Arabidopsis thaliana: one gene and its partner. The protein of the gene in region 2 interacts with the protein of the main gene of each other region in a biochemical or structural test. Each region holds a gene or a part of one and is shown on either strand. Other genes may lie near its edges.

What was found.
Region 1: of the proteins of PUB13 (region 2) and BAK1, one has a biochemical effect on the other in vitro, tested with the Arabidopsis thaliana proteins (2 studies listed by BioGRID, with this or other methods).

Annotation. Positions count from the first base shown.
Region 1 is NC_003075.7:16,085,701-16,092,537, forward strand, and holds BAK1 (BRI1-associated receptor kinase), read right to left. Parts: upstream 5,078-6,837; 5' UTR 4,589-5,077; coding exon 4,504-4,588; intron 4,235-4,503; coding exon 4,102-4,234; intron 4,020-4,101; coding exon 3,948-4,019; intron 3,779-3,947; coding exon 3,635-3,778; intron 3,508-3,634; coding exon 3,367-3,507; intron 2,916-3,366; coding exon 2,844-2,915; intron 2,738-2,843; coding exon 2,666-2,737; intron 2,591-2,665; coding exon 2,514-2,590; intron 2,402-2,513; coding exon 2,270-2,401; intron 2,193-2,269; coding exon 1,851-2,192; intron 1,754-1,850; coding exon 1,359-1,753; intron 1,278-1,358; coding exon 954-1,277; 3' UTR 611-953; downstream 1-610. Other genes in the region: AT4G33420 (Peroxidase superfamily protein), read left to right, coding at 26-405; AT4G33440 (Pectin lyase-like superfamily protein), read left to right, coding at 6,320-6,742.
Region 2 is NC_003074.8:17,122,939-17,128,893, reverse strand, and holds PUB13 (plant U-box 13), read left to right. Parts: upstream 1-1,996; 5' UTR 1,997-2,354; coding exon 2,355-2,624; intron 2,625-2,892; coding exon 2,893-3,009; intron 3,010-3,102; coding exon 3,103-3,552; intron 3,553-3,642; coding exon 3,643-4,788; 3' UTR 4,789-5,163; downstream 5,164-5,955. Other genes in the region: ACT12 (actin-12), read right to left, coding at 1-185, 268-327. UniProt on the Arabidopsis thaliana protein: Functions as an E3 ubiquitin ligase.

The DNA of each region.
Region 1 (6,837 bases), on a different chromosome or scaffold from region 2:
ATAATTTGTGGGGATATATATATAGGAGCACATACCCTAGGAGTTGCACGATGCTCCTCCTTCAAGGCTAGACTTACCGTCCCAGACTCTTCATTAGACTCGACTTTTGCAAACACTCTCTCTAAAACATGCAGCGCGGGTGACAATGCAGAGCAACCCTTTGATGCTACGCGCAACGATTTCGACAATGCTTACTTCAATGCGCTTCAGATGAAATCAGGAGTCCTCTTTTCAGACCAAACTTTATTCAACACACCAAGGACCAGGAATCTTGTTAACGGCTATGCACTTAACCAAGCCAAGTTCTTCTTTGATTTCCAACAGGCCATGCGCAAGATGAGCAATCTTGATGTTAAACTTGGCTCTCAAGGTGAAGTCCGTCAAAATTGTCGGAGTATTAATTAGGCTAGACCACATCTACTTACGATTTTTGTATTTATAATAAGTTCTCTACTCTTGTTATATGAAGAATCATGAATCTTCTAGGCTACTATGTAAAAATTGTGTACTCTCGTAATATGCAGTTGTATACTTATTGCTTGTGTGGTTCAGATATCCATCAAAAAGTAATATACTTTGGTTGCATTTTCTTGTCCAATTGCTATTTAAAGGCAAAAGTCTCCTTTTCTTCTGAACAATCTCCGGATCTAGAAATCACATGATAACACAGAAACCGGTAAGAAAAGAAACCTGACGCACGGTGAAAAAGAATAATTGATGGGATACATATTTGTGAATCAAGTGCGCAACAATCCTCAAGTGGTGAGCTTAAGACATGTTTGGGTTTTAGCTTTCAACAACATTCAAATCCTTTTTCATCATATAACACTTACAAACCCAATCTGATCCTCATGTATTCACTTAAGAACCAATAATATGGAGCAGCAGAAGCTAAAACCCTCAATAAATACAGAGAAAAACAAAATACAGAAAAAACATTCGTGTTTCGAATCTTATCTTGGACCCGAGGGGTATTCGTTTTCGATCTGGGAAGTGGAATCGCCAATGATCCAGCCAGACACGGCTGGATGGTGGGTTGGGTAGTTGAAATCTTGTCTGAACATTTCCTCCTTTTGCCACTCTTCCCATCTCTCAGCTAAACCATCTCCTTCAAGCATTCTTACAACTTCAGACATTTTGGGTCTTTCCATTGGTGAACTCTGAGTGCAGAGTAAAGCCACTTGGATTAGCTGCTCCACTTCTTCGTCTTTGTAATTACCCTGAAGATCAACATCTACTAGTGCTTCCAATTTCTTCTCTTTTAACAACCCTTTCACCTGTCGAAATGAATAATTAACACAAATAGAGGTAACACAGATAATGAACTATACAAGTGGGAAACTCATATATGTATATACCCAGTCTAGTAACATGACATCATCATCATTCGCGAGGCGAGCAAGATCAAAAGCCCTTTGTCCAGTGATAAGCTCAAGAAGCATGACTCCATACCCAAAGACATCGGTTTTCTCTGATGATTTTCCAGTGGAAAGGTACTCAGGGGCTATATGACCAATTGTCCCACGCACTGCGGTTGTCACATGTGTGTCTTTGTAGTCCATGAGTTTTGCAAGTCCAAAATCCCCAACCACGGCTTCAAACTCTTCATCCAACAAAATATTTGCAGCTTTCACATCTCGATGAATAATCTTTGGGTCGCAATGATCATGTAAATACGCAAGCCCTCTTGCAGATCCCAACGCAATACGCTGTCTCTTTGGCCAATCAAGTGGTGGCTGGGACTCGGGACGTTCTAAGGAGAAAATAAAATATAAGATTACTACGGATAAAAAGGCAACCATTGGACGGAAATATTGCAGTCAAAGAAAAAGGCACAAGATGAGAGATACCTCTTAAACAGGAGGCAACACTTCCATTAGCCATGTAGGGATAAACAAGCAATCTTTCGGTTGGAGTCATGCAAAATCCACGAAGCCGAAGCAAGTTTCTGTGAACCGCCATACTAATCATCTCAACCTCTGTCTGGAACTGCAGTTCGCCACCTTGGGTGCGCTCCTCTTTTAGCCTTTTAACGGCCACTAAAGTACCATCAGCTAACCGTCCTTTATAAACTTTACCAAAACCACCTCTACCCAATATGTTCTTGTTGCTAAAATTATCCGAAGCAACTTGTAGTTCACGCAATGAAAACCTCTTCAGTTGTCCTAAATGAACTTCTGGGTCCTCTTCAGCTGCAAAAAGACGGTAATAAAAAAAAATCAGCAAGAGAAGTGTTAATGAGGAAACAGGTAAAGCAAGTTTAGCTAACCTGGTACATCAAAGAAGTGGTCCTGCGGCTTTTTCCTTCGCCACCAAGCTAGTGCAATGGCCGGAACAGCAAATAGAAGTGCAGCACCTGCAGCAACTCCTCCCGCAATCGCTCCAGTAATTCTATTACTCCCTGCAAGAATGAAATGAACAATCTCTTTCTTAATACTTAATGGATCTGCTTAAAATGTTTACTTATTCAGTTGAATAACATTTCAAAGACAAAGACATATACAAAAAAAAACCTGCAGGTGATGGCGGTGTAGGAGAGATAGGAGGCGGTGGAGATGCAGGAAGGGGAGTCAACTTGGTGTTGGCAAAACTGCAAAATTTCAAATAATTAATCAAACATTCTGACCTCTCCACCAAGATTTAAACTAGGAGCAGGATGCAAAACCTGATTGGAGTGAAAAGTGAAAAGGAACCATTAACAGGAATATCTCCGGTGAGAGGATTGTTTGAGAGATCCCTGCATTATAAGATGATATCATTTTCTGACTTAATGCCAAGATCGGCCAAACAATAATCAGAAACATGAACACAGAGGAATTTGAGAGAGATAAAGTTACACTCACAGAACTTGTAGCGTCAGGACAGCAGTCAAAGACCTTGGAATTTCTCCAGATAAGCTATTGTTATTAAGACGCCTAACCACCAATACAAAAAGAGAATGTCATGAATAAGTGGAAATACATTAACCAGTAATGAGTTTATAGTGAGAGCAAAAATACAAACTTTAAAAGACTTTCAAAAGTAGGGGTTGTTCTAAAATCTCATCCAACAGATATGAAGCTGATTGAAAAATCAAGTATATTTTCCTAATTAGCGCGACTTACTACTTTAGATGCGTTCACCCTCTAGATTTACAGAGCACTCACAAATTAATAAGTAACAATAGGGTTTAGCGCTTAAATTCTAAGGCAGAAGAATATTGTTATCTTTGATAGAATTTCATTCTTCCAGAACCAAATCGATTTCATACAAAATAAGCGAGTCAATAACTACCATTGAAGATCACAAAGGTGACACACGAGAACAACCAAAAAGACAGTCACCTGAATTCGGAACTTTGTGTTGTTCCAGTAAAATTAAGCGAACACAAGGATAGAGTTCTGATTCCTTTTACGAAAGCTCATAATTAAAATAGACCATATTATACAACATCCTAGTCTCCAAGAGAACACCTTTTCATCTAGTAAAATAACGTAGCATCTATTTGGCGACACTACTTTCTGACTCCTACAAATGTAACACGTTGCACGAATAGCTTTTACAGGAAGACAAACACGATCAAGGAAACTAAAGACAATAATTAGGCTGCTTATTAAAAACGTATTAAAAGAAGAGAGTAGAATATGGTGCATACAAGAAACGGAGTTTCTTAAGTCGGCCGAGAGTTGATGGAATAGGCCCGCTTAAATTGTTCAAGTAAAGATCCAAGCTCACCAATTCCGTCAGATTTCCAAGCTGTTCTGGGATTGTCCCAGTAATGTTATTGCTATAAAGCTCCCTGTCATTACCATTCTTTAATATTAATTTCACCATAAGATCGGAAAGATATATAACTAATAATCTATGATAATGCAAAATTATGCAGTTATTTGGAACATTGTAACATTTTTAACATCCCACATACACCAAAAGTTAAAAGACGGCCTTTTAAAGAAAAGATGACTTACAAGTACTGCAAGTTTGGAAGCTGACCAAGTTGCATTACGAGCTGTCCAGATAGATTTGCATTCCCAAGGTCACTGAGCAAAAATGAAGTTCAAGTAAATTCTCAGTAGATGCGAAAATCCGAATCATCTTGGCTAGATATAGAAAGAAACTTACACACGTGTAACACTATTGTCGCTATTGCAAGTAACATGAAACCATGTACATGGAGTAACAAGAGTAGCATCCCAACTTTGAAGCACCTTATTAGGGTCGGCTAAACTGTTTTTCAGTGCACTTAGAGCATCACCTACAATTAACCAAAGAAGAAGAAAAAATCAAACTTTGCAATCATCAAGTGTCACGAGGATACATAATCACTGGAATCAGTCGAAACAGATGTAACCCAAATATAACTCAAGTCAATACAGCAAAACAAGTAACAGATAAGTTAAAAATGCCTTCTTTAGGTGAGAACAAGCTCTCATAAGCCTATACTAATCAAAATACTCAACAAGGGAAACTAATTTAATTGGAAAGAATGAAAAATTGAAAGAGAATGAGAGAGAAAGGGGAAACCTTCGGCGTTGCCCGAGACTCTGAGAACCAAATCCAAAACGAGAATCAACCAAAAGAAGCAAGGGATCATTAATCTTCGTTCCATTTTATCCTCAAGAGATTAAAAACAAACCCTAGAACTATCCCTCATCAGAGAAAATCCATCATTGTTAAAACCCCTGATAAAAGGGATCTCGAATCCTTCGATTAAGCTACCACCCACACAAGGTAATACCAAGATGATGAAATTAGAAGCAGAATACGAGAAAAGCCCTCTCAACGCGTATCCACCCGTTGACTTAATTTGAAGAGAAAATCAAAATACCCAAATCGATTAATCGCGGAAACCAAAAAAGCAAAAAAAAAAGAAACTGAAGCTAGACTTTTCCGATTAGAAGGAACGCCGAGATCGCTGACCGTTGACTACTTAATGCTGAGAAGAGAGAAAACTGAGATAGAGAAAACGAAAGGAGGAAGAAGATATTTCCTGGAAATATACTAAAAAAGGGTCGAAACAAAGAGAGATGAGAGAGAGGAGAGAAACCAAGTTATCGCCGAGAGCAAGGAAGGAAGACGAATTTTAATTATTTTCTTTGCTTAAAGAAGGGATTTTACTGGGTTGAGTTGTTGTACTGTGAAAACTATATTAAAAAAATGACATTTAAGATTGAGAAAACGACAAAGAGGATGATGACGTGGACGAGCATTTTCAAAGCTTTTTTAGAGCTAGTCAAAGTCAAAGACGCACGACTTCATTCCGAATCATGTTTGTTATGTTCGCCCACCTTATCATCATCCATCATATGACATTAGATATAAACCATGATGGTCATGAACTCATGATAGTTGATAGTGAGTTATATACCATCATCATAATCCTAATTACCGGCCCAGCTCTATTTTTTCGGGCTTTTATTGTTTATTGGGCTTGGTCTTAATAGCAAGTTCGTTTATTCCAAAGATGAGCAAAAGCTTTTTTGATTTTTTTATTCTTTTTTAAAGATTATAGCTCTAAAAAATTACAATTCAATATTGAAAAATGTAAGCTGAATAATCCATCTGGTCCAATGAATTAAACAAAACAAAAAACATTATTGTATCATATATAATTTACTGGTTGATAGTTTAACTATTTATGCCATTTAATATTTTTAAAAGAACAAAAGTAATTTTGAGGAAAAATGAAATAAAAAACAAAAAACACAAACGGACAGAGTATATGTTGCCAGCAATAAAATACGGACATATACCTTAGTTTGGCATTAAAAAACAAAACAAAAACACAACAAACAACTCAGTACAGTAGGCTATTTAAAGGCCCATCAGATTAAGACTTGGAAGTCTGACGAGATTGTAACGCCTCACAATCCTTCCTACCCGTGAGTCCGTGACCGATTGTGTATCATCCATCTTCTTTCTTCTTCTTTCTTCTTCTTTCTTCTTCTTTTATATATAAACCAAAATATAATTCGTGAAGACTTTCACTTTCTCCTTGCCACTTTTTGACGATTCACATGCACCATCCAATATTTTAGTGCCCTTTTCACGACATATCTGTGTCTGTATCCAATTTTCTTATTTACTACTACTTTTTTCTATTTATATATACAAAAATAATCAAAGAGAGAGACGAATTTTCGAGGTAAGGTATCTATCGACTTTCTATCTTCCTCCACCTTTGTTTGTTGTCACCACCACACTACGCTAATCATTGCCACACACATGCATAATTCTCTCCAACCATCTAAAAGTCCCACTTTAGCATTCTTCTGTTTGTAATTTTATCTCAGAGCTTGCTTCATGGGCTTTTGAGTTTTCTCTCTGTTTCCAAAAAACAATGGAACCGGAGAAGAATCCGACCACAGTATTGAGTGCCATTACAAGACCTTCGTGGGCGTTTCTTCTCCTTGTTTTCACCGTCTTAGCGATTCTCTCTCTCCAAATCTCTTCCAATTCTTTTCTCCCTCTCTGGATCCCGACTTCTCAATATGACGACCCTGTTACCTGCTCCGGGTTTTTCAATCACGACCCGTTCCCTAACCGGATCGTTATGTCGATTACCGATTTCGGCGGTGTTGGAGACGGAAAGACGTCGAACACGGCCGCTTTCCGCCGCGCCGTAAGGCACCTTGAAGGTTTTGCGGCGGAGGGTGGGGCCCAGCTCAATGTCCCGGAGGGCACGTGGCTTTCTGGAAGCTTCAACCTCACCAGCAATTTCACGCTCTTTCTCGAACGCGGCGCTCTCATTTTGGGATCCAAGGTTATATCAAAGTTTTGAATTCTTTAACACATTGATAAAGTTTACTTTTTTTTTGCTTTGTTTGTTGTTGATTGGTTCTGAACAGTAGTAGTATT
Region 2 (5,955 bases):
TCCCAGTTGTTGACAATACCATGCTCAATTGGATACTTGAGAGTCAAGATACCACGTTTCGACTGTGCCTCGTCTCCGACGTATGCATCCTTTTGTCCCATTCCAACCATCACTCCCGTGTGACGTGGACGGCCAACGATACTTGGGAATACAGCTCTAGGAGCATCATCACCTGCAAAACCAGCCTACACGCACATAGTTGAATTGCTTAACTTATGGCACATAATAACATTCACAAATCTTGTTTCTCTAAAGCTTTTTGATTACCTTGACCATTCCAGTCCCGTTATCGCAAACGAGCGGCTGAATATCTTCACCGTCCGCCATTTTTCAATCTCTAGCTGATTACATCAACATAAGAAACATAGCAAATTCAAAGGAAACACCAATAATTAATGCCAATCTCATAACTAAATCTAAAACAATAAAATGTAACCATTAAATCTAATTCGTTACGTATACCATAATCAAACGCATTAGCGTTACATTTATATTGGTTTTGCCTCCTTGTGATCAAAATTTTGACATCAAATAAACAAAAAAAATAACATGTACCTGATGAATTTACGTAGATCTAGAAGAAAAGAAAGAGGTTGTGGAATCGTGCCCTGAAATTGGGTTTCAAAAATTTCTGGAAAACAGAAGCAACTTTGGCCCTTAATATCGTTCATACACGGGTCTGAGCCGTTAGTTTTCTTCATTGAGACCAATATCTCAGCCTCTATAGACACGTGTCCATCTATTTTTAGGTTGGAGAATTAAGAAAACACCAGCCTAACCTGAAAATACGGTTTAGGCTCTGTTTTACCGGAAGAATCGGGTCACCGAACAAGCATGAGTGGTAATGAGCCCATTTGGGCCTAAGAAAAAGGTTAAAAGGCCATTTTCTTTAGATTATTCAATTTTAGACAATCAGTGAAATTTCAGTAACATTTCCTTCTAGTTTCTAGTAATTTATGTGTTCAACCGAAATTTCAGTGCTATGTAAAAGAGTGCTATCCAAACTATAATTAAGAAAAAGGGTAAAAGATCTTAGTGGGTGAGGTATGGAAATTGCTGAAAAAGTTCTGGGAAGAATGAGAGTAATGATGATAACGGTAATTGACAAATGTGATAATGATGATAGGGATATGTGCAAGTAAAATAATCAAGCATGTGCATAAGATTCATTATTTGACATGAGACTTTATTATGTGTTTTTGCTTATTATAGTTTCTTACAAAACAAATGAAGAAAGTAGTGAACAACATACAACAATACTAAATAACAGTGTGATTGTTGAAGAAATAGTTTCCATTTAATATTTAAAACTAGGCTTCCAAGGCCTTGACAAATTTCATTAGAGAAGGATTTATTTTTAATTAGTGGAATATATGATCAAGAAAATAAATTGACATTTTGGTATAGATTAGGGACATTGGAGACAGAGGGGTTGATTTTGAGATTGAATTTTGACTTTTCTGTGTATTTAGCTTTTAGCCACCAATTAAAGCAAACATTCATTCATTTTGTCATGTTGATCGCTGCACTTATCTAACTAGAGTATTATTCCCTTTTCGAGGTACCCAGAGGATTAAGCATTTTTTTTAAAAAAAGAGCCTAATACTTTACCTAATAACAAGAAACATGTAGAGTAGAAACAAGTAAAAAAAAGTTTAAAAGAAGAAGGATTAGATCAAAAGAAATAACTATTTTAGGATAATTTCGTTGTCCAGTTGAACTATTTTTAATTTTTCTTTTTAAAATATTTTCTTGCATGATTAGAGAGATAGAGGTATAAAACCTTTTTAATTCTTCAATTATCACTAAATCCAAAATTATAAATGCATTAACAATTTTGTTCTTCTATGACACCCCAAAAATGTCACCAACTACAGCAAAAAAGTGACCACTATATCCGTAAAAATTCGTATATTCAATCCGTGAAAATATAATAGTTGAAAAATATTCAAAATTTCACAAGAAAATTAGTAATTTTATAGAGAAATAATTTAAATGATAATATAATATATTAATGTAAAAAATAAAACAAACACAATCGTAACCGGTCCCGCGGCTTCGTGGTCGAATTTACCTTTGTTCCGGTTTAGTTCTTAAGCCGAGAGAATCGTACAAGTTGCAATAAGCTAAAGCCGTCAGCTAAACGACGCCGTTTTCGAAAAGTCCTCGTCTTCTCTCTCACACAATCTCTCTTTCTCAGAAATCTCTCTCTTTCGCACTTTCTGCAAATGGTTCTCTTCTTCCTTTAAGCTCAATCTCGCCACTGGAGTCTCAATCGGGAAAGATCTCCATCTTCTCCGGAGGAAAAACGGATCCGTAAATCGTGAATTTTTAAACAGAGAAGAATCAATTCAATGGAGGAAGAGAAAGCTTCTGCTGCACAGAGCTTAATCGATGTAGTTAACGAGATTGCTGCGATTTCTGATTATCGTATAACAGTGAAGAAGCTTTGTTATAATCTAGCGAGGAGATTAAAGCTGCTTGTTCCTATGTTTGAGGAAATTAGAGAAAGTAACGAACCGATCAGCGAAGATACGTTGAAGACTTTGATGAATTTGAAGGAAGCTATGTGTTCAGCGAAGGATTATCTCAAATTTTGTAGCCAAGGGAGCAAGATTTATCTGGTGCGTTTCTTCTTCGATTTATTAGCATCTATGATTAGATCTGTGTGGTCACTGAGAATTTTTGTTCTCGTTGACGAATTGGTGTTTTCATTGAATGAGAGAGCCACGTGCTTTGTTTTGCTATGGTAGTGTTTGAGTGATATCAATGCTTCTTTGGTATTTGATTAGATGTTAGATTTGGTAGTGGTTGATGTGACTTGATTGATCTATGGAAGTTGTTGAGAATTTGTGCTCTGATACACAAGAGATGTTGTTGTTCTGTGTGTAGGTGATGGAGAGGGAACAAGTGACAAGTAAATTGATGGAGGTGTCTGTTAAGTTAGAACAATCTTTAAGCCAGATTCCATATGAAGAACTCGATATATCGGATGAAGTTAGAGAACAGGTAAATTCTTGAAACCCAAGGCTGGCTAGGCCAGTGTCTGGATCAGTAAAGACGACATGTAGTTGATTCATAGCGTTTTTTTGGTTGTTGTAGGTTGAGCTGGTTCTTAGTCAGTTTCGGCGAGCTAAAGGAAGAGTAGATGTATCAGATGATGAGCTATATGAAGATCTTCAGTCGCTTTGCAACAAAAGTAGTGATGTAGATGCTTATCAGCCTGTGCTAGAGCGGGTTGCGAAGAAGTTACATTTGATGGAGATTCCTGACCTAGCTCAAGAATCAGTGGCTCTGCATGAAATGGTTGCTTCAAGCGGTGGAGATGTTGGTGAAAATATTGAGGAGATGGCAATGGTATTAAAGATGATTAAGGATTTTGTGCAGACGGAGGATGATAATGGCGAGGAGCAGAAAGTAGGAGTTAACTCTAGAAGCAATGGACAGACTTCTACGGCAGCGAGTCAGAAGATACCTGTGATTCCTGATGATTTTCGCTGTCCGATTTCGCTGGAAATGATGAGAGATCCAGTTATTGTTTCATCAGGGCAGGTATAGTTCACTTCAACCTCAGCTTCTTCAAATTTATTTCTGCGATCTCTTAAGATTTAATTATAGAAGCATGTTCTCCTCTATGTATAGACATACGAACGCACATGTATTGAGAAATGGATAGAAGGTGGACACTCGACATGTCCAAAAACACAGCAGGCGCTAACAAGCACAACCCTCACACCAAACTATGTTCTCCGTAGTCTCATAGCTCAGTGGTGCGAGGCCAACGATATTGAGCCTCCAAAGCCTCCGAGCAGTTTAAGACCCAGAAAAGTATCGTCCTTCTCATCTCCCGCAGAAGCGAACAAGATTGAAGATCTTATGTGGAGACTTGCGTACGGAAACCCCGAGGACCAACGATCTGCAGCTGGGGAAATCCGCCTTCTTGCAAAACGAAATGCAGACAACCGCGTGGCCATAGCCGAAGCTGGAGCCATACCTCTTCTCGTAGGTCTCCTCTCAACTCCTGATTCTCGTATTCAAGAACATTCGGTAACAGCTCTTCTAAACCTCTCCATATGTGAGAACAACAAAGGAGCCATTGTTTCAGCTGGAGCTATTCCTGGTATAGTTCAAGTGCTTAAGAAAGGAAGCATGGAGGCCAGAGAGAATGCGGCGGCTACACTTTTCAGTCTATCAGTGATCGATGAAAATAAAGTGACTATCGGTGCCTTAGGAGCAATTCCGCCACTCGTTGTATTACTTAATGAAGGTACACAAAGAGGCAAGAAAGATGCTGCTACTGCACTCTTTAACCTCTGTATATACCAAGGAAACAAAGGAAAAGCTATACGTGCAGGAGTGATTCCCACGTTGACTAGACTCTTGACAGAGCCCGGAAGCGGAATGGTCGATGAGGCACTCGCGATTTTGGCGATTCTCTCTAGCCACCCCGAAGGAAAAGCAATCATAGGATCCTCTGATGCAGTCCCAAGTTTGGTTGAGTTTATCAGAACTGGCTCGCCTAGAAACAGAGAAAACGCAGCTGCTGTTCTAGTCCACCTCTGTTCTGGAGACCCACAACATCTTGTCGAAGCGCAGAAACTCGGCCTTATGGGTCCATTGATAGATTTAGCTGGAAATGGGACGGATAGAGGGAAACGAAAAGCAGCGCAGTTGCTTGAACGCATCAGCCGTCTCGCTGAACAGCAGAAGGAAACGGCTGTGTCACAACCGGAAGAAGAAGCTGAACCAACACATCCAGAATCCACCACAGAAGCTGCAGATACTTAAAGATTGTCTTTGTTTTGGATCCTCGGGTCATCTCTTTCACGTACGTATGTTTATTATTCTCACTTTTTGTTTGTGCTACTCATCCTCCCTCGAGGTAGGATTCACGGTAGACGCGGAAGAGGGAAATGGCCTCCTTCTCCGATCTACTTTTAACTTTATGGTGATATCTTTGTGTGGACAGAGCAATCTGGTCCACAGGAGAGAAAAGCAAATATGCATACATACACGTCAACTTGTATCATTGTAACACTATGTTTGTAATCATTTCCACGAGCTTTTTTTTGTTTTCAATACAAGATCTCTCTGTTCGCTTTCTTAATAGCATTGAGATACTAATTGAATATAATGCAGATTCCCATTTTTCATGAACAGATGCGTAAACTGCTTGTAGAGTCGATAGATTCCATGCATAATGTTTCAATACAAGTATACAAAACTATCAAATAGTAAAATCTCAACCCGTTTTAAAATTTCTTAGAGAATCCATAGAACAAATATGTCTCCAAGCACAAATATAACATGTAATGTGACTCCACTACACTCATCACAAGTAGAGACCATTCCTTCGGATCATAGAGAGAGAGAGAGAGAGAGATAGAACACATCAAATACATTTCCAGTGTTAGATTATTATATATGTCGAACTACTTTACTAGATGTATTGTGCAAATAGATTCAAAAAGGGGTTGTTTAATTAGGGTTTAAGATTTTAGCAAAGTAAGGATATGAGTTTATTGCCCAAATCCAAGGTGTTCGGCTTTAATGTCGAAAACCAGAGATGGAACTATGAGATACTGTTTACAATGCGGTGACCCCTTTTGTAACATCTGCAAAGATGCGTGGCATAGTAACTTGTCGTGCGAAGATTACAAGAGATTGGGTCCAAATCCTACAGAAGATGATATAAAGTTCGAATCTTTAGCAAATCAGAATATGTGGCGTCAATGTGGAAATTGCAACCAAATGATTGAATTTTCTAATGGATGCATCAGAGTAACATGCATGTATCATCATCATCACATATTCACATTCTCTATCTGTTATAATTAATCCTTTTAGAATCTGTTTATGTTTTCACGTAATTAACAGTATCGTAATGTTCATGGTTGATGGATATCATATAGATGTGGCTACAAATTTTGTTACATATGTGGAGCCCAATGGAAG